Linked DNA regions of Daphnia pulex. The protein of the gene in region 2 purifies or fractionates together with the protein of the main gene of each other region. This does not show direct contact. Links are inferred from orthologs where the notes say so. Each region holds a gene or a part of one and is shown on either strand. Other genes may lie near its edges. The genes, in order: paired amphipathic helix protein Sin3b-like, UDP-N-acetylglucosamine--peptide N-acetylglucosaminyltransferase 110 kDa subunit-like and CXXC-type zinc finger protein 1-like.

Evidence for each region.
Region 1: the proteins of UDP-N-acetylglucosamine--peptide N-acetylglucosaminyltransferase 110 kDa subunit-like (region 2) and paired amphipathic helix protein Sin3b-like purify together in Homo sapiens (affinity purification with western blotting; 4 studies listed by BioGRID, with this or other methods). This does not show direct contact. The link is inferred for Daphnia pulex from reciprocal best matches to the Homo sapiens genes OGT and SIN3A.
Region 3: the proteins of UDP-N-acetylglucosamine--peptide N-acetylglucosaminyltransferase 110 kDa subunit-like (region 2) and CXXC-type zinc finger protein 1-like purify together in Homo sapiens (affinity purification with mass spectrometry; 3 studies listed by BioGRID and IntAct, with this or other methods). This does not show direct contact. The link is inferred for Daphnia pulex from reciprocal best matches to the Homo sapiens genes OGT and CXXC1.

The regions. Positions count from the first base shown.
Region 1 is NC_060024.1:9,529,162-9,539,481, reverse strand, and holds the start of paired amphipathic helix protein Sin3b-like, read left to right. Parts: upstream 1-4,893; 5' UTR 4,894-5,085; intron 5,086-5,592; exon of another isoform or gene 5,593-6,175; intron 6,176-7,266; 5' UTR 7,267-7,303; coding exon 7,304-7,465; intron 7,466-7,526; coding exon 7,527-7,859; intron 7,860-7,926; coding exon 7,927-8,087; intron 8,088-8,151; coding exon 8,152-8,272; intron 8,273-8,334; coding exon 8,335-8,551; intron 8,552-8,617; coding exon 8,618-9,060; intron 9,061-9,123; coding exon 9,124-9,658; intron 9,659-9,722; coding exon 9,723-10,320. Other genes in the region: ralA-binding protein 1-like, read left to right, coding at 1-138, 212-342, 518-674, 737-1,347, 1,408-1,510, 1,583-1,711; 40S ribosomal protein S27, read left to right, coding at 2,373-2,378, 2,637-2,745, 3,109-3,219, 3,335-3,363; AP-3 complex subunit sigma-2-like, read left to right, coding at 3,900-3,968, 4,029-4,120, 4,173-4,356, 4,423-4,647. UniProt on the Homo sapiens protein: Acts as a transcriptional repressor. Corepressor for REST. Interacts with MXI1 to repress MYC responsive genes and antagonize MYC oncogenic activities. Also interacts with MXD1-MAX heterodimers to repress transcription by tethering SIN3A to DNA.
Region 2 is NC_060021.1:541,733-552,258, reverse strand, and holds the start of UDP-N-acetylglucosamine--peptide N-acetylglucosaminyltransferase 110 kDa subunit-like, read right to left. Parts: upstream 5,766-10,526; 5' UTR 5,619-5,765; coding exon 5,546-5,618; intron 5,315-5,545; coding exon 5,164-5,314; intron 5,106-5,163; coding exon 5,083-5,105; intron 5,012-5,082; coding exon 4,982-5,011; intron 4,917-4,981; coding exon 4,726-4,916; intron 4,666-4,725; coding exon 4,597-4,665; intron 3,793-4,596; coding exon 3,732-3,792; intron 3,654-3,731; coding exon 3,567-3,653; intron 3,501-3,566; coding exon 3,452-3,500; intron 2,806-3,451; exon of another isoform or gene 2,539-2,805; coding exon of another isoform or gene 2,399-2,538; intron 1,982-2,398; coding exon 1,894-1,981; intron 1,813-1,893; coding exon 1,746-1,812; intron 1,683-1,745; coding exon 1,636-1,682; intron 1,267-1,635; coding exon 1,031-1,266; intron 963-1,030; coding exon 809-962; intron 710-808; coding exon 637-709; intron 569-636; coding exon 360-568; intron 238-359; coding exon 1-237. Other genes in the region: F-box/WD repeat-containing protein 11-like, read left to right, coding at 6,725-6,758, 6,824-6,963, 7,040-7,171, 7,231-7,419, 7,502-7,645, 7,717-7,842, 7,907-8,223, 8,291-8,359 and 1 more; protein sax-3-like, read right to left, coding at 9,093-9,890, 9,962-10,526. UniProt on the Homo sapiens protein: Catalyzes the transfer of a single N-acetylglucosamine from UDP-GlcNAc to a serine or threonine residue in cytoplasmic and nuclear proteins resulting in their modification with a beta-linked N-acetylglucosamine (O-GlcNAc).
Region 3 is NC_060019.1:1,600,016-1,610,638, forward strand, and holds CXXC-type zinc finger protein 1-like, read right to left. Parts: upstream 4,895-10,623; 5' UTR 4,729-4,894; coding exon 4,723-4,728; intron 4,608-4,722; coding exon 4,471-4,607; intron 4,393-4,470; coding exon 4,349-4,392; intron 4,288-4,348; coding exon 4,241-4,287; intron 4,172-4,240; coding exon 3,923-4,171; intron 3,858-3,922; coding exon 3,696-3,857; intron 3,637-3,695; coding exon 3,505-3,636; intron 3,439-3,504; coding exon 3,334-3,438; intron 3,273-3,333; coding exon 3,135-3,272; intron 3,068-3,134; coding exon 2,932-3,067; intron 2,867-2,931; coding exon 2,682-2,866; intron 2,621-2,681; coding exon 2,249-2,620; 3' UTR 2,171-2,248; downstream 1-2,170. Other genes in the region: uncharacterized protein LOC124190982, read left to right, coding at 1-952, 1,022-1,174, 1,238-1,710; uncharacterized protein LOC124190992, read left to right, coding at 4,958-5,059, 5,135-5,270, 5,337-5,594, 5,671-6,044; protein Star-like, read right to left, coding at 6,419-6,559, 6,626-6,842, 6,920-7,110, 7,179-7,348, 7,414-7,540. UniProt on the Homo sapiens protein: Transcriptional activator that exhibits a unique DNA binding specificity for CpG unmethylated motifs with a preference for CpGG.

The DNA.
Region 1 (10,320 bases), on a different chromosome or scaffold from region 2:
AAATTTGAAGATGCCTCTTCCATTAAAGATAGTCAACTGCAAGAAGAGACTTTTAGCGGTCTAATCCGGCAATTGCCAGTACACAATAAAACTTTGTTATCCTGGTTGATGGTGCTCATGGAACACGTTATAGAAAAGGTAGACAGATCATCAAGAAAGCAATATTTATTTTTTGTCGTTTGACGTCAATCTTGATATTTGCTGTTTCTAGGAGCGATTTAATAAGATGAACGTGCAAAATCTTAGCATCGTTCTGTGCCCAACGCTGAACTTGACTCACCGTGTCTTGGGGTGCCTTTTCGCATATAGTCGGTCACTTTTTGCAGGCACTCAGATAATAAAGTAATTCAACCGATTGACTTAAAGTTTCTATAAGAACTATCGTGTGTTAAATTTGTAGCCTTTCTCTTATTTATTGTGTGGTCTGTAGATAGGATGCAGCTCACAAAGGAAGTGGGCGGATCATCCGCTTGGTTTTTAAAGCCTTAGTTTGAAATTTTACACTTGTCAATTTTAGGTACATCCCACCTCTATCGGGCGTTGGGGTTAGTTTACCCGATGACTTGGAGGCTATGGCAACTGAGCTGAAGAAACAAGAATCCCTGTTGGCACAGATCCATGGCGAGATGAGTGTCGGTTCTGTGGCGAAACACCGTGAGGAACAGCTTTGGGAAGTAAGACTGCTCTCCCGTCTTCATCGATAACTGAATTTAAAATAATTTTACTTGCTACTCAGGCACAGCGAATCGTTACGCAACTCAAAAGACAATTAAAACATCAAGCACCGACCACTGTTACTTCTGCCCCTACTGCGTCCCAGAATGCGCCTTCAGGAGCTGGAAAACCACAGGATTTGCAAGATGCAGGATCAAGCGGACACGACGTTGAGTTACGACTGGAGCTGGCTCTTCCTACAAAAATATCTGCCGAAGAGGCCACTCAGTTGGCTGAATCTGGAACTGCTGATCCTGAATCTTGCAACGAAAAGGACATTGTTGAGCAGGAACAGGATTCACAGAAATGTCAGACGCTTCAGGTTGACGTTCACGAACAAGATTCTGATAGCATTCCAGAAGAGCCCTCGCCCGTAGAACCAACAGAAGTTTCTAATCATGTTACAGTTATTGAAATTAGTGGTCTTCCGACGGAATCAAATCTATCCGATAAAAATGGTGTGTGGAAGGCTGCAAAATTTGAAACACCGTTAACGACTGAACAAGAACTGGAACTGCTCCTCATGATTGAAAATCATGAACGAGAAAAGATTATCGAAAAGCTCGCTGAAGCCATCGAGAAGGAGCGCAAGTCTGTGGAAAGACTACAGGAAATTCTAGCAGAAAATACAACGTAATTAAGTTAAGTCTATGTCAATTGTAATAAGATTAGAATGCTTGATTTGTGTTTCAGATCATGGAGTGACAGCTCTGAAGATGATGAAGGTCTTGATGTAGGTGAAGAAGAACAAGAACAGCTTTTAGCTGAAGTGCTGCGTGAAAACCGTCAATTAGAGGTAGGTTTAACTGTAGTGTAGATCTGTGTCTCTTATAGTAAATTTTTCAATGATTTTGTTTTAAATTTATAGGAACAGAACATGTTGCTGCAAAATCAAATCGAAGAAGTGGGAGAGGCATGCTTAAAGTTTAGAGCTCAGCTGCGATTACGCGAGGAAAGGACAAAATTACTAACTGGTGGAAACGGAATTATCACTTAAATCTTTTCGCTGTATAATCAGTGAATTGTCACTTTTGTCCTATTGCTTGTCGTTTTTGTTCAAATAAATGCTTTTAAAAACTAACTTACCTTTCATTGTAAGCAACAAAAGTATTTATAAGGTGTGTTGAATGAAGTCAATTCCGAAAATTCCGTAATCAGTTAGGGTTCTATTAAAAAAAAAGATGTTTACTATTTAAAGACGTTAAGACTTTTCACTTTTTGTCTTAAACTCCGATTAGTTCAATCATTCTTGATTCTTGAGTGCTAATATTTGATTGATAGATTTGCGTTTGTGCTTGCGATAAAAGTTGTTTCGATAAAAGAAAACACTACGCGCTATTTTTTAAAGTTGCTTTTAATAGACTGAAAAATTTGACGCCAGGTGGCACTTTTTGCATTGAATTTTTTTTTACAAATTTAACTGAAATACAATCGCAAAATAAAAGAAGTTCATTTTACGATATTAATTAGTAGAAATATAATTAGACAGTAAATTAATTATTTATCACATTCATAGAACCAAAATAATTTAGGTTTGCATTGATTATCTGACATCTGGCACTCCAGCATCCTTGTGTAGCCATTGCCAAGCGTAGTGAAATAGACAATTTCACTTCTTTTCGTAAACGTGTTTAGCCGGCTGAGAGCTCCCTTACAAGATGCCCGTGAGTCCCTTTAATTTAAATATTTTCTGTGTTGTTTGACGATATCCTCAAATTGTTTTCACCTAATAGCGAATAAGTTTTGTACTTGCAATAATTCTTCTTAAATTTCCTTTGTCGATCTCGTGTATTACTTCTTATTGGGCCATGTGCCCTCGCATGAGGCCCTATGGCGGCCATCTTTATCTTGAAAAAAATGTCTTCCTGTGTACAGAAAAACAAGATTTTTCGTCTCTTAATTGAGTTAATTTTTATTTTCAGCTCGCACGTGATTTGTTGCATCCTACTCCGGAAGAGGAGCGCAGGCGGCACAAGCTGAAGCGTTTGGTTCAACATCCCAACAGTTATTTCATGGATGTCAAGTGCCCTGGTAACTATAATCTGATATCTTAAAATTTCATGAAATCAATTTTGCCAGGCAACTACACCTCATCGGGGATTGTTTGAATGCACATATGATAGTCCAGCTTTTTCTCATATGAATTAGTTGGAAGAAAAAAAGTGCAACATTATTTGGAAATTCTTGGCAGAACTGAATGGATAAAATGACATAACAGTTTTGAGAAATTCACACAAATGAATAAAATAGGCATTACCTATTGTAAAGGGAATTGATAAATTTGTAGTGGGTTATTCACAAAGTGAGCTGGGGCAGTCTAATTTTATATTTTTTATAGACATGGCTCAAACACCAGTATATGATGTTTGTTGTGATACATTTCTTTGTTCCTAGGCTGTTACAAGATCACCACGGTTTTCTCCCATGCACAGACTGTTGTGGTGTGTGCTGGCTGCTCAGCAGTGTTGTGTCAACCAACTGGTGGACGAGCCAGGTTGACTGAAGGTAAATGATTCAATATAACAATAATCTTGATGTCTCCTGAAAGTAGCAGTGTAGAATGTTAAACAGAATTCATGTTAGTTTCTTTGCAAAACTAATCAAATCGTTTTCTATTCAGGCTGCTCTTTCCGCAGGAAACAACATTGAAGAAATATGCAGTTTGGCCTGGCTGCACCTTATTGTACTTCATCTAAGATACCATTCATATGTAAAGAGTGAATACAAGTTGCATTGTCAAGGCTATTCTGAGTCTTTGTTTAACTGTCTGAAAAGTATAAAGTGTATCTGTGCAAATAAGCCTTAACATGGCAAGTCTCGTATAATTCCTTCTAACACGCAAATCGTAAAGGGTACATCTTAAAACCGCGGACATGTTGGGACATGTCTATGCTGCAATGCTAATATGACGTCTTATTGTGCAACAGACGATTGACACGTTACGGTCGTGACATTAAGGACAAAGTCAATGTATGAAAATTAAACCTGCGAGTAATGTCCGACTATCCAAAATAAATATTTCATTATGACTGACATTGACATTTCCTATTTATTTATTTAAAATTTTGGAATCAAAGTTCTAAATCTGACCACAAGATGTCTAATTGTCGTTATTTGTTTCGTCTGTCTTGACAGATCGTGTGTGCTGAGTACTTGTTTCATTCTTGAAATCTAATTCTTCGGAAATGATCAAAGCTATACTCGTGTTTAACAATCATGGAAAACCTCGTTTATCCAAATTCTACCAATATTTTGTAAGTTGAAAACGTTTAGGCGCTTTATACTATTGAAACTAACAAGTGAAGTTGTGACAGAATGAAGACATGCAACAGCAGATTGTTCGTGAAACTTTTCAGCTTGTTAGTAAGCGCGATGATAATGTCTGTAATTTCCTTGAAGGTGGAAGGTATGTTTAGTTATAATTTGTTATAAAAATAGTTTTTAATTCTGAATTTCAGTTTGATAGGAGGATCTGACTATAAATTGATCTATCGCCATTATGCTACTTTATATTTTGTGTTCTGTGTTGATTCCTCTGAATCTGAGTTAGGTATACTAGATCTCATTCAGGTATTTGTTGAAACCTTGGATCGCTGCTTTGAAAATGTTTGTGAACTGGATTTGATATTCCATGTGGATAAGGTACATTTATTTATTCCTTCACTTGTCAATTGTCTTTTAATTTTCTACTATTTTGATATCTTCTAGGTTCATTACATCTTGAATGAGTTAGTCATGGGAGGAATGGTTTTGGAGACCAACATGTCTGAAATTTTAAGTCGGATAGAAGATCAAAATAAACTAGAAAAATCAGAAGCAGGGCTTATTAGCCTCAAGAATGTGAATCTTCCTAATTTACCCAACATTCCTCAGCAGATAAAAGATATTAAACTTCCAGATCTACCTCAAGCTATCAAAGACTTAAAATTCTAATGCAATGGCTCTCAATTCTAAATAATTTTTGCTGTATTGAAATACACCATATATACGTTTAAATTATGCTGTTATTATTATTTTATGTCTTTTTATCAAATTCGTATGTTTATGTTTTATCAAATTCGTGATTCTGAACGTGATAGATGGATTAAAGATTTTCGTGAAAAAAAAATAGCTTTTAGTACTGTACGATAGATGGCCATTTTCCTATTCAGTTTGAACATAACTTCCCGCTTTCAAACAGCGCCTGCTGTATTTTCCCATCTCGCCGCCATCATTCGTCGTCTGGCCAGTTAATACCTCTGTTCCTCTCTTAAACAACTAACGTGTATTTCAATTGTTGGTGAATTTCAGTGATTTTTCTCACTTTAAGAAGCATGCTTGAGTGATCTTTGATCAACTAGAGACTTAACTAGCAACATTTTCTCTCTTTTGGTAAGTTATTCGACTTTATTCGTTATTCATCTCGTTAATGGTTTTCTTGGGCATCACGGCATCACGAAGAATTTGCAAGTTCACGCAAGATGTTTATTTGATGGAATGGGAATGTTTCAGCGTCGTTTTATCGTTATCAAAACCTGTTAATCGCGTAAGTCAAATAAAGTACGGTTTTGACGTTAATTATAGAAAGACATGATCGTTTAGTATGTGTTGAGCTCTCTAGGATCGAACTTGGGCTGTTTGAGCGTGGCAACACAGCTGATGGTTTGTGTCCCTTTACCCAACCCCATCATTCTGGATTTTCTTACCTCCCTCAGGCTACGCGTTTCCGGACCTTTTGAGAGCAGGCAGGCCAGGCCTCTCTACCCCCTCTCCCAAACAACACCCAACCCCTCGTTTCGCTGCATCCCGATAGTGCAGCATTGCCGGTTTACCAACTAGTTTATTCGCATTTTTAGAGTTTTTTAAAAATCGAAATAAAACGTCATTTTCCACATTTCGAAATTGTGTTTATCGCAAGTGACATGAGAACGAGCGGCGAATATTGTTATCAGAGTTACAAGTCTTAACGCGATCGATTGTTGATGGTTTCCAGCGCCAGCACTAGTCGCTCCGTATCAGGCATGGCGAGTAGTGTCGGTAGTTTCAGACGCCAGCAAATTCGAGTCACTCTTCGAAAGAGCACTACAGTGAAAAGCCTCTGGGTCGTCGTCACCTAGTTGTGAGAGATCCCAGACGACGTGTGTGTGTACATGTTTGCCTCTGCTCTCTGTGTGGCATAGTGAGAGATTCCTGAAGAAAGTGAACGCCATTTCTTCTTCATCGTGAATTAAATTGAGTAAAGGGTTTGCAACTCGAGTTTCACGTGATTCGACCGTTAGTGTACTCAATCCGGCGATAGTTTCTTGGAACTATCCGAGCTTAAACGAGAGGGGGAAAAACGACGGCCATAGTTTCTCTTTTAGTACTACTGCTGCTTTAAGCAGAAACACAGTGTAAGCGTCGGCGTTGTGTGAAACTTTCGATCTTCGGTTTTCATAGTTTCTTCACATGGACATTCACCATTCATTTACGCTGCTTAAAGGTGACCTTCATTGACCTTACGTTTTCTTTGATTTCTCGTAATCGACTCGTTCATTTTAGTCGTGTCTTGGTCGTGATTGCTCGTCTTTCATTTCCCATTCTTTTAACATAATTTACTTGATAACAAATGGTTGACATGGAATTGTAATGATCTAGATTTGAACAGAGGAAGAGTTTTTAAGTCCCGTGAGACTTGAAAACTTGTAGCAAAAGAAATGTCTTATTATGTGATGTGACGTGTGTTGTGTACGGCATTCCTGTGCTCATTGCTGGCCAAAGTGAAGCGGAGACCGCTCTTTTTCGCCTTTCGATGAGCCAATAAGAAATCGGTTTCAAACCGCTTCACAGCTGTTCTGAGGTTGTGCGTCTCCCTTCGAATTCTACCCAATATGGAGTCGGTCCACTTAGGTCGGCGTTATTATCGAAGCGCTTCGCATCCACTATTTCCTCCAGTGTTTAGTCTGCGTTAGTTCTGCTGCAAAGTAAAGTCTATGATAATGGTTTCAGAGGGAAAACAGTGGAATATCGCTATTTTTTCATTGTTACAGAGGTTGTTGGATGCATGACGAAAACGGGATTTTTGTTGATTGAACGTGTCTATTGATAGGTACAAGTCCGTTCTGAATGGTCTAAAAGCGGTTTTAGTGGGACCGCAACGTTGCCATATTTAGTATACTCCGTCTCCCACATACTATTTCCGGAAAGCATTTGAAATCTCGTGGCAATTGACGTTTAATTTCGAACATCCCTTTTAAATGAACAAAACTGTCTTTTTAAATTTATTTGCAGCAACAAATTTCAGTTAATATTTCTTTAAATCCAGTTGTTGTCTGTAAATTCCCGATTTCCTTTGTCCGGCAGCAATGTTGTCGTTTCTCTTTGGGCGGGAAAGGCGGTGGGATCGATATTTGTGTTGAGACCCGAGGAAGAAGACTCCCGGGTTAGTTGAATAATCGATCCGTCCGCTGAGCAACAGACGCAGCTCTGCAAAAAGTGTATTTAGCTTAAAAATAAAAATGACTCTGAAAACTGCATTGCTGGCGTCCAGTGGGATTTGTTTACTAACTGTCTGTGATTTGTGTTCTTCTACAGTCGGCTGTCTAAGCAATGCCCTACAGCTGGATTGAGAATGAAACGCAACGAAGATTCCGTACACATTTCGCCCTCCGCCGTTGAGTCTGTAGCACGACCATTGAGTGGATCAATCCAGTCCGGCCGCGTCTCCCCTACGTCACCTATGGTGAATGCAATACTAGTTGGAGACTTGAGGAACGCTGCAAATCAGTTACAGGTACATCCTTTTCCCATAGTGTTGCTGTGCCTGTATACTCAATATATTCATTGCTAAATAGGAGCCCTCCATAGCAGCAAGTATGGCCTCTTTTAGTACAAGTGGGTTTGTGGCAGCTGCGAATGGCAGCACCACAGTTACAATTGGTCCTATTGGCACCAGCCCACCAGTGCCATTCTCTACTACTATTCAAACAACGAAAGCCTCCACTGCTGGTGGAGCAACACAAGTTGTGGCTCAGCAACAACACATCTTCCATCAGTCCCTGGCACATCAACAAGCACGTCACAGTTTGGCTACTGCTGCTGCCCCAGCTGGATCTCCTCCGACAGGTCAATCAACATCTCAGCAGACACAACAGCAGCAACAAAATACAATGCAACAGGCTTTTCAGGTGAGAAACTTTAAACATTTAATAGTTTGTGTGTGTCCGTTATTGCTAACTATGTATGTCTCTATAGCAAATGACTGCTGGTCCTCATGGCCCTGGTGCCCAGCAATTTCAGCGATTGAAGGTGGAAGATGCCCTTTCATATTTGGATCAGGTCAAATACAAGTTTGGCAACCAACCTCAGGTTTATAATGATTTCCTTGATATTATGAAGGAATTTAAATCTCAAAGGTAAGCATGGGTGTTGATTAAAGAAAAGTAAGGCTTTGATTAACATGGAATTATGATCTTCTAGTATCGACACACCCGGTGTCATTGCTCGTGTTTCTTCTTTATTCCGCGGCCATCCGGAGCTCATTGTGGGATTCAACACTTTTTTACCTCCTGGATACAAGATAGAAGTTCAAGCTGAGCAGGTTTGTTGTTTGTTTTTTTTTAAATTGTATCGTAAATGTTTACTGATGAATGTGTCTTCTAGGTTTCTGTTAGTGTTCCTGGTAGTCTTGGTGTCCCTGCTCACATCCACCACATCACACATGGCCCAGTACCAATAACTACCACTACTACTCAGCAACTTGATGTGGTTGCTCGAAGCACGCCCCCGATTCAGCAAGTTAGCATTACTACCGTTCCGCAATTAACTGTTGCTGCACCAATCCAGCAGATTCCAGCAGTGGCGATCCCGGTCAAAGAAGGTAAAATCTTCGTGTATTTTTATTCTGGCTTGACAAAATTGTTTTAACCCGTTTTCCTCTGTTTAGTTGTACCTACAGTAAAAGCTACAGGGAATTCTCCTATATCGAATGCTGGTTCAATTTCAACTGCAGCCACTACATACAGTTTGGGCTCTCAACAGAAAGAATCATCTTCCAGTCCTCAACTAGGTTCTGCCGCGCATGGATATGCAAACAGTTCATCACAGGGTGCAGCCGCTGTAGTCAATGCAGCATTTGGTGTTCCAAATGCGTCGCAGCCAGTTGAATTTAATCACGCCATTAATTACGTCAACAAGATAAAGAACCGCTTCCAGGGTCAACCGGATATCTACAAACAGTTTCTTGAGATACTACACACGTACCAAAAGGAACAGCGCTCGCTGAAAGAGGGTCTCGTCAGCCCACTAAACTATCGACCTACATTGACTGAAGCTGAAGTCTATGCTAAAGTTGCTCAACTCTTTCAAAATCAAGAAGACCTCTTACAGGTTAATTTCTATATTGTTTTTGGTGAAATATGTTTATTTATGCTGTTTTTATTATTATTTTAGGAATTTGGCCAATTTCTACCTGATGCTACTAATGTTACTCGTGGCGGTAGTTGCGGTGGTGGTTTGGTGCCGGTCACACTGCCAGCCATTCCAACGGGGCATACAAAGAAGCCAAGTCCTGTCACCGAGACATCTAAGCCTCCAGTGCTTGCAAGTAGTAACTTAACCGGATCATCAGTTGCACCACCGCCGAAAGCTCCACTTAAACGTCCTGCACCTCCGCCTATCATATCGTCCCCGACGGTCGGTATGAATTTGATTCCGAAAAAGAAGCCTCGACTAGATCCTGGTAGCGGCAAAGATAACTCGATTGCCGAAATAGGAAAGTTTGGCACAATGAACGAATTGGCTTTTTTCGACAAAGTAAGGCGCGTCGCTTGCCGATCACGCGATGTGTACGAAAACTTTCTTCGTTGCTTGGTCATGTACAATCAGGAAATAATCAGCAAAATGGAGTTGCTTCAAATCACAACCCCCTTTCTAAGTCGCCATCCTGATCTGCTCAAATGGTTCAAAGATTTCCTCGGACTCAAAGGTTGTTATCTTTTTATTGGTTTACTGTATCTTTTAATGTTGTAACATATTATCTGGATCTATAGAAGGAACTGGCGTTGGAGGTTACTTCACTCATGTTGAAGCTCAACCTATAAGTTTGATACGTTCGCGAATGGAGCGAGAAATGTATCCTTCAACCAAGGATGGGAAAGAGTCACGGGACCACGACATGCAAGCAATGGAGATTGACTACTCGACGTGCAAACGTCTCGGTACATCATACTGCGCTCTACCGAAAAGCTACGAACCTCCAAAGTGCTCCGGACGAACGCCGCTTTGCAAAGAGGTGCTGAATGAGACCTGGGTCAGCTTTCCCACTTGGTCAAGCGAGGATTCGACTTTTGTTAGCTCTCGCAAAACGCAATACGAAGAATACATTTACCGGACAGAAGATGAACGCTACGAGCTGGATATTGTGCTAGAGACGCACATGAGCACGATACGTGTTCTAGAAGGCGTTCTGAAGAAGCTTAATCACCGAATGAATGCCGAAGAAGCCAATCGGTTCAAATTGGACGATTGTCTTGGTGGATCTTCTCCTACCATCCACATCCGGGCCATTCGACGTATTTATGGCGACAAAGCGACCGAGATTATAGAAGGGTTGAAACGAAGTCCTCAAGTGGCCATCCCCGTGGTGCT
Region 2 (10,526 bases):
GTCAACAAAGTGTTCAGATTCGCGCGCTATTTTGGCCCGGAAAGTTGTTCCGTCGTCAGGACTTAAAGAGTAACAAAATATTTCAACACGGGAGCGTTCGTGAAATCCTGGAACTGATTGCATTAAGTGGCTTGTTGGGTGGTTTCCGAAGTCGGAGGAGACATAGCCGATACGCAAACGTCCATTCGTTGCAAGTTCTTTGGGATATTTGAAATTTGCCTTATGAAGGATTAGGATCTTCAAATACATAGGAAAAAAAGAAAACATTTATAATACCAAAAGTCAATGTTATTCACGGCGATTACTGAAGCTTAACCGGTAAGCTAGCGATTAGTAATTCATTGTCTAAGTATATTTACCTTTTCGACGCAGAGATTTGCATGTCGAGCAGCTATAGCTTTTCTATATTCATGAGAGAGCGGATATAGCATTGAATGATGCGGGTGAACTGACGGCAATCGATTGCGTTCGAGTTGCTCTCCCACAATATGGATTAACCGTTTCATTCGGGTTTCATAATCGGTCCAATCACAGACAATTTGCAAACAGTGGGCCAAGTTGCAATAGGCTGAATTAAAGTAAATAAATAAATAAGTAACAGTTTTCAAAAATAATGGTTTTAATTATAAAATTTACCATCGGGGAAATCTGGTTTTAGTTTCAAAGCTGTACGGTAGGACTGTATTGCTTCTGGAATTTGTCCGCTGTCCTATTAACGAAACAAAATAAGAGAAGAATTATTTTGTGTGTTCCACAAGCAACAATGAGAGCGTTAGAAGCATCTTAACAATGGGAGTGAATACCGTACCTTGTGAATGGAAGCCAAATTTGAATGAGCATCGGCAAAGGCAGGGTTGATCTGAATGGCTCGTGTGTAACACTGAAGAGCACCATTGATATCCTGCATTTCTTTGAGCGTGTTTCCCATGTTGCTATACGCATCGGCAAATGACGGTTGAATCCTAGTTTTCAAGTTACATATTTCAAGTAAGCTAGACATGAATTATCAAGACGGAACTTTAAATCATACCGTATTGCTTCTTTGTAGTGCATGAGGGCTTCGTTCAGTTTGCCTTGTTGTTGTAATACGGAAGCGAGATTACTGTGAGCTGCCGCGAAGTCGGGAAAGACATCTAGAGCTTTAAGATAAAGCCGTGTAGCTTCTTCAATGAATCCTTGTTCCCGCTTGATGTTGGCTAGGTTATTTAGCGAATCCGCGTGAGCTGGACATAGACGCAAAGCTGTCGAATAACAATCTTCGGCATCCTATTACAGTCAAGAAAAAAAAACTCGCTTTAGCTTTCTTGGCAAGTGAAACTAAAAAAATAAAGAACTAAAAACGAGTAAGGAAGACTTGGTTAGGAGGAACGACCCACCAAAACTTGGTTGTCCTACTTCATTAAAGGAATATGTATATTAATAGACTATGGAGGTTGGGAAGGGTTTAACCTTTTCCCTCTTTCATTCACTATAGTTTAGAATAAGAAACTTTTCCTTTTTAAAATGATAACTTATTTAACAAGAGTATGAATTTTTTAAGACACGAAATGTCATTTTACACAACATAGGGACATTTTAAGTTCAAGCAATAAAAACGAAAATGATTCGAATTTTTGGAAACTATCATTTCATTACCTGTACTTGTCCTTTCTCCTTGAGAGCATTAGCGAGGTTACAGTACGCTGAAAAGAAAAACGTAGAAATGTGATAACAGATTTAAGAGTAACGTTTAATATTCAAGTTACCGTCCGGGAAATGCGGTTGCAATTCAATTGCTCGTCGGTAGGTATCAATGGCAAGGTCGATAAGACCCTAAAGTGTACCATAAAGCAGCAAGTAAAAAGAAGCCTTTAGGCATTTACATTTTTTTATCACATTTAAGTTTTCAATTACCTGCTCGTAGTACACACAGGCCATATTTCCGTGAACGACGGCATGGTTAGGACTAAGATTTAGCGCCCTTAAGTATGCTGCAACGGCCCTGCAATAATAAAAAAAAAAAAAAAACCTTAAGACTTATATCCCTTCTACAAATATTTAAACGACAGGGAAGTAAAACCAGCCAAGTAATAAACATTGGCAAAATAAGTCTCCAACACTGGCCAGAGTTTATTTTAAAGCTATTTTTAACATTATTTTAGATGCCCACTGGCTAAAATTGTCAACTCGGTTAGTCTGCCGACGCTTGTGTTGAGACGCGCAGATTCCAGCGCACTTCCTTTGTCCTACCCCTCGTTGTTTCGAGCGAATCAATCGATATCGTGCGTTGAAAGAAGAGATAGCACTACATACTAGATATCCTTCTCTTCACTGTCATCGCAGAAAACAGCAAGGAGGACACTCCTCGTTCGCATGCGAATGTTGTAAACACTATACTGCATCAAATAGATCGACATACCGTTTAAGACGAGAAACCACGCAAACCAAACATCCACTGCGCAGACTACTGTCATTCACTGATTGAGCTAGAGAGTGGTAACGACTTTCATCAGCCGAAATGTTGACAATCGTGTAGATAACCACACACTGGTAGTCCATTTGGATAACGTGGGCATGACCTTTGCCCAACGTTACAGAGTTACTATGAATTCTAAAGGAATACTACACGGGCATCACAAGAAAGAAGACTCTGACTTTGGTCAAACAATTAGTTGACAGGTAAATGTTTTCAACAATAAGTGAACGTGTCTGGAGATGTAAAAAATTTCATGACGAACCTAACGATTCAAGCTAGGCAACTGGTGTCTCGTCAAGGATGCCCAAGCCATTTTTATCCCACCTCCCGTGAGTGGAGCGTAACCGATCGGAATGAGCGTGCGCAGTCCCTTCGATTACTCAACTTTCCCCACATCATCTACGGTAGACTGGTCACCCCGCCCCTTAACACTCTAACTACCACCCTCCTCCTCCCCATTAATAAAAAATAAACTAAAAAATAAAAGCACAACCAGAATTAGCACAAATAATTTGAAAATTTAACACAAAATTAACGCTAAAGTTAAAAAATAATTTTCTGATCGCGAATACGAAACTTGGACATAGCTATCGTTATCATAAATACTATGATCATCATTCAGAATAAAAAACTGGCTGGAGAGTCCTCAATGATAGAAATAAAAAATAAATACGTCGGAGGTGATGTTTGGGTGGGAGAAGGAGAAGGGTCCTACCGAAATGAGGGCACGTTTCCTGTGCATTTTTTTTTTTCGCAAGACAGTGGCAAACCAAGAGAGGAAAATAAAAAAAAAGAAGAGCACATACGAGCCAACTCGAAATGACGCAAGCTACAAACGCACGAGACGAGAAATTTACAATCACCGAAACTAACAACATTCTTAACAACTTTTTTCTCGTCCATAAACAACATCTCTTAAAATATCTATTTCCATCCCTCACACTATTTAACCTATCGATATAAGAACTTCGACATCATAATATTATTAAATCTTACCTGTCGAAAATCCTAGCTTCTTTCAGAACATTGCCCAAGTTTATGTAAGCTGTAAAAAGAAATATGATGGTTAAATGAGGTAAATTCACATTTTCAAATGTTAAAAGTATTTTACCATCAAGAAAGTTGGGGTCCAAAGTGACAGCCTTTTCGAAATGATGAATGGCTAGCCAAATGTCCCCTTGCGCGTTAAACACACATCCTACGTTTCGTGAGAAAACAAACACGCATAGATAATTAGCATTTTACAACTTCTGAATAATTGACTAAAACGCATTACCAAGATTGGACCACGCCACTGCAAAATCACCCCGAGTCTCAATTGCTTTCAAATAGCAAGCCTTTCCACATATGAAGTAAAATACGGATAAAATTATTTTCCCAGTTAAATGTTGAAGAATGTCAAATTATGATTATTAATCAGTGTTTCGAATATTAGTAAGCCCCATATTCTGGGTGGCTTACACTGGAGATTACACTTATCATGGGCAATGCGCTGCTGTTAGCTGACAAGGGTAAAGGGTCGCGCGCGCGCAATCGCAAGGGAGCATGGGTAAGGGATAGCGGCTGGTGCGGCGAATAATTTCGCATGCTATGGGAGCTTGAGCGCGTTTAGAGTTGTTTTCATCGCGGCTGCACTTACCGCCTACCGAAAAGAGCAAGTAGAATCCACCACGAGGTTAGCTTTCTGCATTTAGACGTCTAGCTGGATAGAACCTATGGATATATCCTATGTGGTAGGCAGAAGGTTTAGGAGGAGCATATGAAAAATGGCTCGGAGCAGAAGATGCACATACAAATTTTCGATATGTTGGTTCTCCGTGAAAATCTCGATGAAAATATGCTGAAAACTGAAACTATTAACATAATCGTTGAACAGAAGAATGGATTACTGCAGAATTTTCCACCACATTTCCTATAGATATCAAGAAAGTTTATGGAGTGTCGGGATGAACATATCACAGACATTACGTCCTAAGTCTTTTCCACCTAAAAATTTAAAATTCCACTTTGGGGCCATTATCATGTGATGATTATCAACAATAGTACTACACAATAATAATAATCTGAAGCACATTGTATATGAACATTAAACAAATGAGCTGAGCATCCCATATTTCTGATCAATTACTGGATTTCTTTACCTTGGCCTCATCCAATCTTCCAAGAGCTTTAAGCAAGTTCCCTAGGTCACTACGGACACAGTAAAGATCCTAAAAAGATTGATCCTTAATAAGTAAAGGCACTCAATAAAACAAAAGTAATCAACATACTGGATTATACTGCAATGCTGAGACATATGCTTGGACTGCTCCTTCCATATCTCCAGCAGCAACTAAGGCAGCAGCCAGATTAATATAACCATCTATGAAATCAGGCTTCAGTCTAACTGCATGACGATAATTATCAAGTGCTTCAGCCAATTGACCACGTTCTTTAAAAACATTTCCAAGATTTGAATATGCTGTAAACAGAAGAAAAGTTATAGAAATTGTGCATAAACCAAAAACAAATACAATTTAATACTACCTTCAGCTAATAGTGGATTTTGCTTGATTGCTAGAAGGGAAGAACTTTTAGATTAGTACAAAACTCAGCATTAATTCTGCAAAATATCCTTAATTCCTTACCATATGTAGAAAATTGAGCAGACCTGAAACGAGAATACAATTGTAAACATTGAAATCTGTACAAAATGTGTAAAATATTACTTGTCGTAGCGTCTACATTGGAAGTGTATTGAAGATAGGAGTAGAAGGACTCCAGTGTTTGTTGGATCTTGACGCCACAGCTGCATACAGTGACGTTCAGCATTTTCATAATCACCTGCCTGGTATTCTCTGTGGGCTAATTCAGCCAAACCTTAAGAATGAACAACAAAGTTAGTATATTATCAATGCAAATTTTGAAATAAAATTTTTTGACAGAAATGTTTGGTATGTGTTTATGAATGTATAACTTTTTTGAAAAATTGAAAAAAATAGACGGTAAAAACATCATCCTGTTATCGCGTGTTTGATCTAATCTCTGCCCTTCCAATGTTCCAAAACAAATGGGGCAAGATACTAGAAACTTGCTTTGACATTAACTTACTGAAAGATGAAAGTTGATCAGGTATCTTTAGAACAATACCTCCTGCAATTTGTTGATTTTGAAGTGACTGCATTTTCCTGTGTTAAAGTTTGACACTGATGGGAAGATGGAACAAGTAATGGCTACACGATGAGTCTAGATCGTTTGGAAAAGAGACTCGATAACAATGGAATGACTGCTTCACTGTAAGCAAGTGTATGTGCTGCTCAAAGCCTCAAGTGACTTAGTGCGTTTTTTATGCCATAAACTAATCCAGAGGGCGCATCTCTTTTCTATCTGCCGTGCCCCTGATAAGCAATGTTTGATTGAGCATTTGAGTGGTAAGTAGGAGGCTATTATCGTTCATCAAACTAGTGTTTAGTAATAGTCAATAGAAAAAATTTGAAAAACAATTTTAATAGAAATTAAATTTCCCTCGATTAATTAAACAGCGAACCCTTGATAGGCGAGTCAAGTGGCGCCGCCATCTCATTTTCCACAGCCAATATTATATCAAAGGGTAAATGAATTGATGTAATTGAATAACTAATACATCAGTAAAAATCTCGGCCGTTAATTATAACGACATTATAATAAACAAAAAAACAAAAAAATTACAGCAAAAACACTTATAGTTATAGACCGGTAACGGATGCTGAGTTGCCAAGCTTTGAAACTCTTCCTGTGAAAAAAGGTGGGGAAATTGGGATAGGCGGATGCGGTCTAAAACTAGCTTTGTTGTTTAGCTTATTCAAATTTGTTATATTTATCTAGTTAGATAAATTTATTATTAACTTAGTTACTTTGAGAAGAAAACAATAGGTAATTTCTGAGTGATCTGGGCCCGCGCCGCCGTCCGTCCGCCCGCGCTAAATCAAAGGAGTCTAGATCTAGAAGTTGGCAAAATGGTTAGTTCCAAAACTGAGGATAAGTGAGTTTAATCGTTAAATTTCCCACTTTCGTTTTATCCTCTATTAGTTTAATTAGCTCAATTTCAATATTCCGTATAAATTTTCTTTCTCAGCAGTTTTGCAACTTAGCATTCCGGCTTTCTATCAAAGCAGACGACTTGCATGGTATCACATGTGTGAAAAATTCAAACAACTTGTTTGTGTTAGTTGTGAATTTGTGGTTAGGCTACTGATTTCTTAGTGTAAACAAATTCAGATTCACTCGAATCAGATTTACTCTGTTACAGTTATGATTGAGTGGGACTTGATTGAAAACCTTCATCGTAAGCAATACAGTATCAAAATGGGATTTTCGTATACTTTATTATTTCTTATTATACGTTTCCAGGGCGAGGTCTAGAGCACATATTGGATCAAATTTTTGGATATTTGGATTATTATTGTCTTCGACGGGCTGAGTTGGTATCCGTCGTTTGGCAAGAAGCTTTGTTGGAAGGGAAAATCTGGAAAACATTACTCGGTAGAAATGTAAGTAGGCTTATTATGGCAGTGATTATTATGTTGTATCAAACCATGTTATAATATAATTTTGCTATGTATCCAGATGCGTCTCTTTCCATGCTGGAAGGATATGTTTGTTGCCTTGAAAGGAATGAAGCATAAAAGTTTGGATTTTCAAGATGACTCTGCTGAATACTATCGTAAAATTTGCTGTTTAATTGAAGTTGAATTACAGGTCTAACATTTTATTTTGTCATCTTTTTATCATCTTTATCAAGTTTTCTTTGATAATAGGTGCTTGAATCAAATTGGAAGAAGATGAAATACTCTGAACGCAAAAGTGAATTTGGATGCATTTCCCATAATTTATCAACTTTTTATAATTCAGCAGACTATTATGACTTGAATGGAGATTGGATTGTCAGAGTACAGCCAGATCGCAGAATTGTTATACGAAATAGATGGACCCTTGAAATCGAAGATGTATGTTTCTGATTAAAGACCCATAGAATATGGTATTTGATAGTTTTTTTTAATTTATGTGTTATAATTTTTTATATTTTAGGTTCTTGAAATCCCGATCATGCAAATTCAGTTCAACGAAATTATACCGGTTTTGAAATCCGTTAAAATCAACGACAGCTTCATTGTGGCTTCATTTATTCACCATCCGGAAATATGTGTCTGGGATACGAAAACTAGGGATCTAGTATATTATTTGCAATATAAAATTAATGCTTTTTCATCAAGTTTAATGAAATGTATGCTTTATTTCTCTAGCTTTACGTGATAGATATGGATTCCTGTGGCATTCAAGAAGAAGAAGAAAACGACGAAGAATCATTATATCATTCAGAATGCGGACTGAGTCTATGGAAAAACCTTCTGTTATCCTGTTACACTAGGGTAAAGAAAAGTTATTGCAATTTTGCTTGCTCAAGCTAATTTAATTCAAATTTCCTTCTTAAAGTCATTAATAGGTCTATCTTGGATTCTCACTTTGAGATGCTTATCACCATTCATGGGTGAAGAAGTAGTAATACTACATAGGACAGTCATTGTGGGACCCGGAATTATGTGGGGACTTTTCGTGGACGAAATCTACACCGTAATTTTTTTTTTACACTATCAGTCACTATCAGAAGATGTGACTGTTGAAATTCGGAGTACGACATCTTTTGAAATAAAATCCGTTATCAAGTTAAATTCCAAAGACATCCCTTCTGGCTTCCACTATGCGAACGGATTGGTAGTTACTGGCCCTGGTGACCGGGGAAAATCGATTAGGTAACCACGTTCAAATTCATACATTTTAAAACATTAACCAGAATAATTTGGCCCTTTCTTAAAATAGAATTTGGGATGTAGTTACGGGACAATGTATTGTCAAAATTCCCCATCGTGAAACTCTCGCTTCGATCCGGTATTTTACATTAAATATTAAATAAAATTCGATGTCTGATACATATTTAATCAATTTATTCATTCAATTAGGCTTGTTTCAAATAAATACATCGTTGGCTGCGAAAATTCGTGTAAAATAAAAATTTGGGATCTCCAGACTGCTCTCAAATCAAATCGTAGTCCCAATCCTGGATGTCTAATGAAGACAATCCCACCTCCTCCAGTACCGTACTTGGATATACTGTTTCCCCCATCATTAGCAGTTGACGAATTTCAGATAGTCCTTGTTAGTCAATTTGATCGTCGATCATTCCGTCTAAGTGTGAAAAACTTTTTGGATGCTGCCAAATAGTCAGTACAGCAGAATTTTTCCTGTTGCAGCTGTTGCTCAACTTTGCTTTCATTCATCTCGGGCTAAATGAAAAAATCAGTCAATACAGATATGTCATTACTTTTGTTATTGATCCAAATTCCTAACATTTTCTTGCAAATAAATTGAATTTCCAACTCAGAAACTAAAGTCGTAAAATCATCTATAATTTTTAAAAATCACTAGTGCATTCATGGAATGACCCGCGTTTATTGTAGCTGTACACGTATCATACAAACAAGCTTCCACATGACTAGACAATAACTTGTTAAAATTGAACGAGATTATTTACAGGGAACATTTTTCATTGTCATTATTAATTATTGATTTTTTTTTTCACAAGAAAAGTGCGTATAATTTCACAAATTAGCTCTGAATGATATTATTCTCTCGCCTGCTGGTGAACAGCCAGATCGTAGTTGTGAGCCTCTGCATAGAGCGAAGACTCGTTATCGATGTTCTCGTTCTGCAAAACCATTTGGCATCCAGCATCGTCAGATCCGCTGTCATCCTCATCATCGCCATCCCCTCCAAAGTTGTTGCATTCTGACTGGGCTCCTCGTTCGGGGAAATGATGAGAAGGTTCGTATGAAAAATGTTTGCCAGTCGAGAAATTCTTCATGGCAATCCTTGGCGATTCGATGGGTTGGACTGTCCGGTCGACGAAACAGGAGCCGTTGGGTAGCAAATGACTTGTGAGACTGCGAGGTGGATCGTAGTTACTACACTTGCTGTTGGGATGCTTATTAGGTGGTCCCTGATAGTTCTGATGCGAGTTAAACGGCCGTACGTAGCTGTTGAGCCGTGGATAGGCAATATTGCAAAGATCCTGGTTGACTGGGGGCATCACTCCAGTTGGCCTTACATTTTCTATGGGGTTGTGATAGGCGTAAGCGTACTCGTTGCTTCCAGAGTCGCTGACCTCTTCGTTGTCTTCCGGCGAATTTGGTTCCTCCTCGGCGACAACTTGGTAGTGATCGGGGGAGTATCTTGAACCGTTGGAACCGGTGGCACTGCTGTTGCTGGCCAATGGGGAGACTGATGACCTCCTGGTTGGATTCACTCCAGTAACCGTCGGAGTCAATCCGTTTCGCTTGGATAGGGCTGGCGAATTGTGAACTGGCAGTGAAGGTCCGTTATTGTGAGATGCGTTCTTGAAAACGAAATGACTGGCTAACGTCTGTCAAGTTCCAAAAGAAGAAAATTGATTAAATGAAATAGTTGTATGCGTGAGAATATGATACTCTATACCTCGTGATTCGGTCGATCAAACACGCTCTGTGAAGGGCTGGAAGGTGGGGGGTGACGCGGCGGAGGAGGTAATAATTCACCCAGGTTGGGCAGCAGTTTCACACCGTTACTATTGTTACTCTGTCGGCTTTTGGAGCTCTTCCCTGATGGATAGGCCCGGCGGCAGCGCTCGCCCAATTCGTCCGTCGTGTAACCGCTCGAATCGGAGGCGGAGAAGGCCGAACACGAAGCCATGTAAGGGTCGTGGTGGTTGCCGCCAACCTGCTGTTGTTGCATGTTGTTGTTGCGATGAGCGACCAACGTCGTGGTGGCATAGGCCGCCGGGTGGGGCTGCGGAACGTTCGCGTTCCGGCGGGGTAGAAACGAGCTGAGACTCAATTGACCCGGATGCTGATGGTGTTGCATATGTTGCGGCTGCTGCTGCAGGTGGTCGTGACTCATCATGCTGTGACCTAGGAGCTCGGCGTATTCCGGCGGTGGAACCAGTGAGCGATTGGCCAGAGCGGCCGTTCCGTCTCCGTGAGGCAAAAGCGTGGCTTGAGCATCGATTTCTTTGGTGTTGCCA
Region 3 (10,623 bases), on a different chromosome or scaffold from region 2:
CTCGTCAGTACAATACCACCAAAAGCTGATTCTTTAACCACCAATTGGCTGCCTTTTGAATTCCACAAATCACTGCCATTTTCTCTTTCGTGTTTCGAACGAAATGTTTGCGACCAACTCGCTCAAGACATGCGCTCCAAACCCGAACAGTTCAACTATTTAAAATTTCTCTTCAGTTGGACGTGTCAGACTACGGAAACTAAGGACACAGTCATCCGCATGGAAAATGTCATTTCGAGTCAAATGGTTAACAAACTACAGCGAAGATTCAGTCAAGACACAAAAGAAGTTTTCCTGACTGCCAATGACGAGAAGCAACTTTTAGCAGAAACGACAACTAATGTCTTGATGGATACTTTCAAGGACTCGGATATCGTTTCACCTCACTCGGGACGGGTTGTTTATAACTCGTTGAACAACTTGCTCTTCTCTTCCACGGCCACCATTAAGGATCAAAGCGATTGGGACTTGGTCTTTTGGACAGACGACTTTTACCGACCGGATAAAACTTCGGACACGTTGAACAAAATTTTTGAAAAAATGAACACGGAAGGACAAGAAAAGTTGCGGAGGTTGTATCACCATGCAGATAAAATAGACGGCGAAGTGGCAAAGTTCATCGAGTTATTTGCAGATGAAGCAAACTCTACTAACGAATTATACCGTCACGGCTCAACGACGAAGGAGGGTATCGAAACATTTTATCGAGAAAGTAAAGACCACGTCATCTGGGCTAGTGATAAATTCATTCCCAAACTGCTGTCGCTCAATAGATTTAAACTGGCACAGTTAAGAGACCAACTATCGCTGCAATATCGTAAAGTGTCTATCCGTTACACCGCCGCCGCCCTGTCGATCCCTATGAATTTCGCCCAAAATGCTGACATGACAGTCACAGACGAATGGCACAGTCTCAAGCTCAGCGTAGCCAATCTGACAAAAGGATTATTAGGTAAGAAATGGTAATGCTAAATGCATCTCAATAAAAACCTATCAAGTATGTTGCGATCCAAATGAACAGGAAAAACAAGCGCAGAGAACTTCGACAAAATACCTAGATCTTGCGACGATCTTCGGAGGATCGGACACACCCATAGCGGATTGTATTCGATTATGGGAGCTCAAACGGTTAAAAGCGTCTATTGCAACTTTACAAAGCTTTCCAGTGATGCGGGTATAAAGCTCAATTATATTATAATCAAATTACGGATCTATTTATTTGAGTCAACCTTTGCAGATTTCCAGAAATTGATTGGATTTTTAGACGTCAAGTCATCGCCAACTTATTTCTTCGTGCAGAGAAAAACCAAGTTTGGGAAAAAAAATATTCCTATTCCTTTCGAAGTGGAAAGACTAAACACAGGAGGAGCCATGAACTTGGAGACAGGAAAATTTACAGCCCCTGTATCAGGAACTTATTTCTTTTCCTTTTCAGGAGTGATGGTATTTGGTTCAACATATCAGTTTATCAATATGGGATTATATAAAAATGATGAATTAATGGGAGCTGGTCATTCTGATGAGAGTAGTCAATCTGAGATGCTATCCTTACAATCGACACTCAATTTGAAAAGAGGGGATGAAATATGGTTGCAGATTTTTAGCATGTCAACATCAGGAGGGGGCATACGTGGAGATTATTTCAATAACTTTAATGGCTTTCTCTTACAGGAAAATATTGTTGAAACATATGGGAATCTTACATTATAATTAAGTTAAACTGCAAGTGGAAGCAAAATGGAGGCTGAATTTACTAATGCAGAAAACAATTTCTATAAATTAAATAATCTAAGTGGACAACCGGCTCAGACAAAATCTCTAAGAATATGCTGTAAGAAAATAGATCGTGCTGCTTACCAAATATGTTGGCTAAAGTTAGCTTAAAAAAAAGTCACAAGTTTAAAATAAAAATATGTCATTGTGCATCCATTTCAGATTCACTTTTCAGGTGTCAAACCACACAAAAGACTAAAATTCCAAAATAAGTAAATAACCCTTTCCCTCTTCCTGCTGCTGCGAATAACATGCGTGGTTGCCACATGAAAATGCCATTGGCAATGACGGGAAAAGCTTAAAAAAGTGGCATGAAATTTGTTTTAAATAAATGTCATGAGTAGGCCTATAAACCGAGAATTAAACTACAAATTAGAAATTGAATATCAAATCGCAGTAACAATCAATCAATGAAATTTATTATCACCACAATAGGTTCGGAGATATTCCTCACATGATGTAAACAAAATCAACCTTAAGTATCGTCTTCCATGGCAAGTTTTTTATTGGCTGCTGCATAGGCCTCAGAGCTGTCCGAGGTAACACCAGTTTGACCAGCGTACTGTTGCTGCTGTTGTTGCATTAATTCATGATTGAAAGTTGAATGAAGTATGAGCGGTAAAAGTCCAGCGCGCTGCGCCATGGCAGTTCGGATTTGACGTTCTTTTTCGAATAGTTCATCGAGTTTCAGCCACTGGCGAACTCTTTCCATGTCAATCTCGGCTCTTCTTAGCTTCTCCCAATTGTTGTGCTTGACGCACTTTTTCTTCTGAATCAAGCAGAATTCGCCAGTTTCATCAAAGACGTTCCGTACCGACGGATACCCGCATACATCAGTGTCATTGACCTATACAAAAGGAGACGTCACACTTCATAGATTCGAACTTAATATATCTTGAGAAAATTACCTTGGGATCTTTACAATGCTCCGGACATAGAACACGAAGTCGTTTGCAGTAAGTTCGGTTATTTGGATTGTAAAAGTCGCAAAACATGTTGTTGCCTTCTATCTTCGTTTGGAAGATTGAACCAAACGAAGTTTGACTTTCGTATTTGTTGAAACATCGCTCCATGTGCCGAATGGCATTGGTTTCTAAACAAGTATATTAAAAAGGAATATGATTTTTGACCCTAACTATCCAATGATCATTTACTTACGTGTAACACCGATGCCGCAAGTAACGCACTGAACAGTGGCCGATTCCGTTTCGCCGTCTCCACCTTCATCTGCTTCATCGTCAGAGTTTATGTCTACTGTAAATTTTTTCGCCTTTGCTGTTATTACGTCCAATTCCTGCATTGGTATCAACATAATCTTTTAGATACATGCCAGTAAACTTAACACTATGATAAAACTCAACCTTTTGTTTGAGATCTAGTTCTTCCAAAGCTTCACGGGCATCGGTTTGCTGTTTACGAATTTGTTCCAACTCTTTCTTGTTCTTCTCTTCGGCTATACAAGGTGTTAAGCCCCACTCTTGAATGCGTTGAGGCAAAATCTGTACGAAAACGACATTTTCCCACGGTTTTTTTATTTACAAAACTATTAAAATAACTAACCTGATAAATACGAGTAGTAGCCAATTTGAGACCACATTGGTCACTGCAATATTTACTTCCAGGTCGGGAAGCGTTGATGCATTGGGGACCATAACAGTGGATAACCTGAAATTGTGTTGATAATAACAATAAATTACCACATAAAACCATTTAAGAAATAGTATGCTTTACTTTTTGTTTATTCCGAGCCGGAGATTTTTCAACTTCGCTTTCACCTCCAGAATCTGTCGACGACGTAATTCTCTTTCTGCGGCGATGTTCCCCAGTAGTCGCAGAGGAACGGTATCTCCCCTTTGTTTTTTCCTGGAACAGAAATTTTAGTTAAAGGGAATGAAATTGGAAGTGAAGTAAAAATAAAACACCTTTTTATTGGTTGAATGTCGAGATGGTTTAGGGGCTGGAACAGGAGGTTTCTCTTTCCGAAGACTTGGCTCCCAGACGTCATCGTCGGAATAGTTTGCTTCTTTCAGGACAGGTTTTACCACAGGCTCATCTTCTTCAGATTTTATCTCGACTTTCTTCTGCTGTAAATATTTAATGCATTTTTAGTAATTATTTTATGCGTAAAATTTTTAAAATTGAGTAATACCTTTGGGGCGAAGGTAAGACAGACTCGATATTTACATTGTTGACGAGATTTCCCTTTACAGGCGTCACACTTGTTACAGTTATCTACTCGATAACAAGCGATACATTCACCACAATGGGGATATTGTGGAGTAGATTCCTTCTTTTCCTGTCGTTTCTTTGCTTTTTTTGCTGCCTCTTCCTTTCCTGCCTGTTCTAATTTCTTTTGTTTGTACTTGATTGTCAAACTGGGATCCCTTTGTCTACATTTCTAAAAATTAATCATACATTTTTTAAAAATAAAATAGCAAAATACAGAAATAAAAAATCAATGCATTACTGGACAGAAGAACTTTTTTATGAAGCGGGACTCTTCCTCAGTAATATCTAGTCAAATTTAAGCATGTTCCAATTACATTATTTAGTTATGTTCAGATATACAATATACCTATGCAGTCTCCATGATACCAATCTTCACAATAGTCACAACCACTGAATAAATAGAAAATTTGATGCATAAAATATATTTTTAAAATGAAAAAAACTAGATTTAGTTTCTAGAAGACTTACATCATAAATCTACTAGCATCAGAACTACGGCAGATGCAGTAAAGTTGTTCTTCAAGACCATGTTCTTCTTGCCTCATCATAAGGTCAATTTTAGATTGCCTCTCCGGCAATGTATGGTGTTTTGATATGTAATCTTTCTATAGATTTAAAAAAAAAAGAATGACTTTTAACTCCTATTCAAAAGTTGTTCATAACAGAATGAAGGTAACAGTACTGAACACGTAGGCCTAAATATACACGTAGTTCACTTACCGACATTTTTAGGAGGTAGGTTAGATAATCAAACAACTTGAAACGGTGAATTACTAAAAGTTCTTGATACTAGCGAAATTTGATTCAATAACGTGCGGATTCAACTCTTTTTAAAAAGTGTCTTTCTTTCCTTGTTGTCGAATTGTGATCTGTCAACAAGCTGAGCTGAGTGCTAACTGGCGAGGAGATAGGGAACTGCTATTAAAATCGTACTAGCTTATTTGATCGCTGGTAGATGGCAGTCGATGGTTCAATTGTCAACAATTCACAATATTTGCATTTGATAACAACACCACGTTATTGTACTCAGAATCCTGTTTTTCACTTACGTATAAAGGTAAAAAGCAGTTAGCAAATAGCTTAGTTTAATTTACCTTTTAATTATTTATTGACCATTTACTGTCGTGAAAAGATGGCCGAGTTTTATTGTGCTCATTGTAAGGTCCAAATGAACTCAAAATCTCAGTGGGATGCCCATGTAATTGGTGGGAAGCATATGAGAGCTGTTACAATGAATCAGCCCCTAGCAGTTGACATGTCAGCAGCAAGTATAAATTCAATTTATATTGTGTGTTTTGATACCAGCATTCAATATGTTCATTTTTTTTACATAGTTGTCTTGCCCAATGGAAATTTCAAATGTAAAAGCTGTGATGATTTCGAGTGTTGTGGTCACATACCTTTTGAGCAGCATTTGATAGGAAAAAAGCATTTGAAAAACGTCCAGCGTGGCAAAGAGTCCACTCAGTTTAACACAGCTGTCAAGTCACCTCTTTATGGTCAACGGCAACCAACTGCTCCTCTAGTTCACTCTCCACCAGCAATGAATAGTGGTTCCTTACCAATTGCATTAGCCGATGTGTCTTCAGCATGTAAAGTCTTATTCACTCCACACAAGTCACCAGAAAAAATTGCATTAGCTGTAACATTTATTTGCTTTATTTTCAGTGTTGCAACCTGATGGATCATACAAATGTAAAGTTTGTGTTGACTTTACTTGCTCAGGCCCTATACCCATGCAGGATCATTTGAATGGAAAAAGTCATTTAAAGAATTTGAAAACGTTTCCTGGCAGAAAATTAGCGTTTGAGCAAATGACCATTGCTGCTCCTACGTCTGAAGTCAATTACCGTCAGAGTTCGTTAACGGTCGACGAACGTATTGAAAAAGCGTGGAACCACCAGACAATTTGCGGCTACAACTACGATGAGTTATTTTCTAATCTGTCTATCGAGAAGAAGATTGAAGAGTTAAATCCACATTTTGCGTTTATCGGTAAAGATGATCCTATGCCCAATTTTGTCAAGTACTTGAGTATGTGATTAGTGTAATTTCAAAAAAAAAGCACAATCGATCCATTTTATATGCTATCTCTTTGTTGTTTACGCTTCGGCTGTTTCGCTGGACTAAGAGCACGTTGAAAGAAAACCAAGGAAAGCAATTTTTGTATATGAACTATATTGGCCAACTTTGAAGAATGATAATAAAACTGTTTGGAAAAAACATTAGTCTTCTAATTGGGCAGGAGTGAGGAAACAACAGAGTTTTTGTTCCATCCAGGAAGCTTTCGGCTTTTCTTTGGAAAAATGCCAGAGCTAATTTGTTGCTTGCTCAGTAAAAATGTGGTAACACTCTAGCAGCTTGGGGGATGCATATCCGATCGCTCGTGAAACAGCCAATAACGCTAGATTCAAGGCTAAATTTTGTTAAAAATGAAATCGTTTGCGAGCCAATTTGGGTCGGTGACTTCTTTGACCACTTCATAGCCCTGCAACGTCATATATTCCCTAATCTGGTCTTTACCCTCTTTGTCATGGATAAACTCGACTGACAGGGTCTACAAACGTAATAAACAATTGTTAATAAATATCTACATGAAATATATTTTGCTTTTAAAGTATACCTGAATTCTGACATTATTCCACGGTATGGTTTTCAGAACAGCTAATTCGTCGCCTTCAATATCTAAACTGAAGTAGTCTACTTCAGTTCGGTTGAGGGCTGCAAGGATAGAATATATTGGGAAGCATTGGACTTGGACGCTTCCCACTCGATTCTGATCGTCGAGTTGGTTTTGAGAGATTCTTCCTTGATTGAAAGCCTGTTTGAATACTACAGTTCTGCATACAACAAACAAATATGAAAGGCTCATTATTAAAGTGCTTGTCAAGCTTGTAAAAAGTGTGTCAATATTTACTTAGGACTGGAGGAGGTACTAAGGCAAGCAGGAACAGTCCATGCTCGACGATTTTTCTCTTGAACTTTCAAGAAGTTTTTGGGGTCGGCTTCAATCAAAACGCCTTCCCAACCTAAATTTCGTTCCATAAACAAAGTGTTTGAACGAAGTTCGCCATCCAAGGCACCACATTCCACAAAAAAGCCATTCTCCTGTTGGGCAACAGTACAATAAACATTGAAACATGCGAACAACCTTTCGTGATAAACTGTTATTGTACCTTATTTTTCAAGATTTCAAGTATACTTTGAGCTTGCCCCATGGAAGGATTTGGAACCTCTGGTGCTTCAAGACTAAGCTTATTTTTAGATGGAGGGTGTAAGTATTGGCCACGCAGTAAACTTAATATGCAGGGGTCATCTTGATCCATAACTGCTGAATTCACATTTTCTGAAAATTTGAAACGAGAATTAGTTTGAATTCATCTTTAATAAATGAGTGACACATTACAACACCTGTATTGCATACCCCACTATAGTGAGGTTTTCCTTGGGAATGACTGGACTGGTAGTATATCAATATCACACAGGCAAAACACACCCCCATGAACAACACAACAGGTCGCTTGAGAACTGGACTCATTTCGAGAGAAAAGGTTTGACACCTGGGCAGTAACGGATTAATAAACTTTTGCAGAGTTGTTATTGCACTTGAACGTGATGACAAGCTAGAAATGTCAGTTAGCTAAAATGCATTCCTTATTTAAAGTTAAAAGTGATAATTAAACACCACAGCAGAGTCTTCATTGGATTAATGCATAGCACGAAATACACAGGTGCGGAGAGGGTAACACTTATTAGAGAGAAAGTTTCTCTTACGACGAGCGAAAATTGGCAGACGGATCTCCATCAACAGCCCAGCTGCTGAAAAAAAAATTTCTTTACGTAGACTTCACTTTTATCGCCAACTGAACATTACACTCTCGATAGTTGAATCACAAAACGATTGATACCTTGGAGCAGAAATATGATACACACACACACATAAAGACAGGTACTACTGAACGAGATACGTGTGTGTGTGTGCCTATGTACAGAGAACGTATTGGACTCGACTCATAACGTACAGTGGCACACAAGAACTGTTTTACAGGTGAGCTTTCTAAAGAACAAACATTAATACAGAATATGAGATACAAAGCAACAAACTGAGCCCGAGTGAAAGTGACAATTGCTTCGCGGTAGAGTACGTCGACTACGGCCCGCAAAACCAGTGTGTACTAAGTTGTTCCTCAACAACCAAAAGAGGGGCGGACTTGCAGCACAGAAGGCGTCGCCAAGTTTTGAAATAAAAATTCTGGAAAAATTGTTGGAGAACCAATTATTGCCAAATAAACAAATAAAAAACTTAAATGCTAGTTGTTTTAACAATATATAAAAGAAAACTTTGGTCACGCTAATCGAAAACTCTATAAAAACAAAATTGCAGTTAATTGCAACTTAGTAGCAATAAAATACGGATGGAGTATTTTATATCTTTATTCACATTGTTTTTGATAATAATGTGTTTGCGAAATAATCGTATCTTTTAGGATTAACTAGAGAAAACATTTACACGTGTGAAATTGGGTTTTATTTACGCTCGTCGATTTCGATCAAAATTCATCAAACTGGTTCTCCATTGTTTACGTTCGATCTTCCGATTCGACCAAATAAAACTAAAAAAGCGATTTCCATAGTCTCCTTAATTTTTAAGAGGAGGAGATTCAGATCATTACCGCAACCATTTCTTAAAATAACTTCTTTCTCTTATTAAATGGGGTGATTGAACGATCATGGTTGGCTACATTAAGGAAAAATAAAATTCGAATCACTAGACTCAAAAGTGGTTCTGGTGTTGTATTGCAGCACGATTGTTGAAACAACGCCACAGGGCTCCTTTTTTTCAAAAATATAAAGCGATCATAATGTGATCGTCATTTTTTTTTTATTCAACAGAAATTGTACCTATTTCGAAATTTCTACTGTCATTCCTTGTAAAGCAAAACGAAATTTTTTTGCTCTCTCGGAAAAGAACGAGAACGTGACCGACCTGATTTGAATGCACAATGTCATTAAAATCAAAAGTGTGTATATCAATCTTTCATTTTTTATTTTTTTTTATTCTTTGAAAAGTGACTTGAGGCTATCAACATAATAAATATTCGTTGATGAAGCACCGGCCGGTGCGCGGTCATTGCTTGTCGAGTTAGACAGTTTGTTCAACCCGAGAATTTTTCACCGGGGGGTTACAGCAACCAACGTGATGGTAAAAAGAAAAAAAGGCGTTTACGCTACACTGATTATTACCACATGGCTGTGTTGAGCCTGTGTGGTGATCAACATTCTTCGACGTATGTGGATAGAAGCGGAGGAGAGAGTAAGCCGGTGTTACAACTTTTTTAAAATTTTGGCAAGAACTCGTCGTTCGACTTGTTGGGAAAGTGAATCAGCATAATGCCTCCTCTCTCTGTTGAAACAAAAGTGCCGATCTCGTAAAATTTCTCCCTAGCGACCGAAGATCTGTCAGGGATGTATAGCGCTCTTTTCTTCTTCGACTACACGCCTGTTTGAAGGACAGACAAAATAATAACAACTGCGCCTTTTTTTTACTTTTCGGCTTTCTAAATACCGCCGTTGCTATGTCCGTTTTTGAAATATGTGGGCCGATTATTTATGGTGAACGAATTCTAAATTAAAATGTCTGTTTGGTTATCACGACCTCATTCAGATCGCCAAAAACATTTTCTCCGTTTGGGCGAAAGATTATCACGATTTCGATGGAAAGGTCATGAATACAGGGCGGTGCCCTGTTGGCAATTTCTCGTCGGAGAAAACGCGTTGGTGGCCGTGAGCATTTCACGATGCTGCTGATGTCATCTTCCCCGAACGCACCAGACTCGTTTAGAAGGAACAGAATGGAAAGAACTTTCTTTCAGATTCTTATCGACAAGAGTTATAAATATTTATGAGCACCTGCAAAACTTGGCCTGTCCACTAAATCCCGCCGAAAAGAAAAATAAATTTGACAAAATTTAAAATTATACCTTTCAACGGGCCATAAAACGGCCAAGTCAGGCCTGGAGCGTGTATCACATTTGTCAAAAAAACAAAACAAAAACAAAAAAAAAAAAAAAAAAACAACTTTTACTAAATTGACACCTGGTAAGTGAAGAAATTTGTGTCGAAATAATTTTCACCACTTCACGGTAAGTTACCGATGAATGAAACATTTCATCATGTGAATTTCGTTTGTTTTCCTTATCAAAATGATATCGGGCATTTCCCGCCTTATTATAGTGGGTCAACTAAAGTTTCTCTAATTGTTCGACAACCCATTCTTAGCCTTATTATTTATAGACGGTCACCGTTATAAGGTTCCCAGACGACTGGTGCCCGCCTTTCTTGAAGTAGTTAGCCAACAGCGATACACTCACTCCTCTATAATAATTATTTCCGCTAGCGAAGAATCGCTTCGAGTTAACGGCACCAGGTGTCTAGACACGACTTGACAGGTATTGAGTAACAGAAATTGCCCACGCACGGAAAAGTTCACCTATGACAAAAACAAATTTTTCTTGAATCCGCACTGGAACAGCGTAAAAAGAAAACCCGGGGCTAAAAACCTCCCAGTAAAGAGAGTTTTCAGAGTACATTTGATATTTTTCTTTTTTTTTAAGGAGGAGA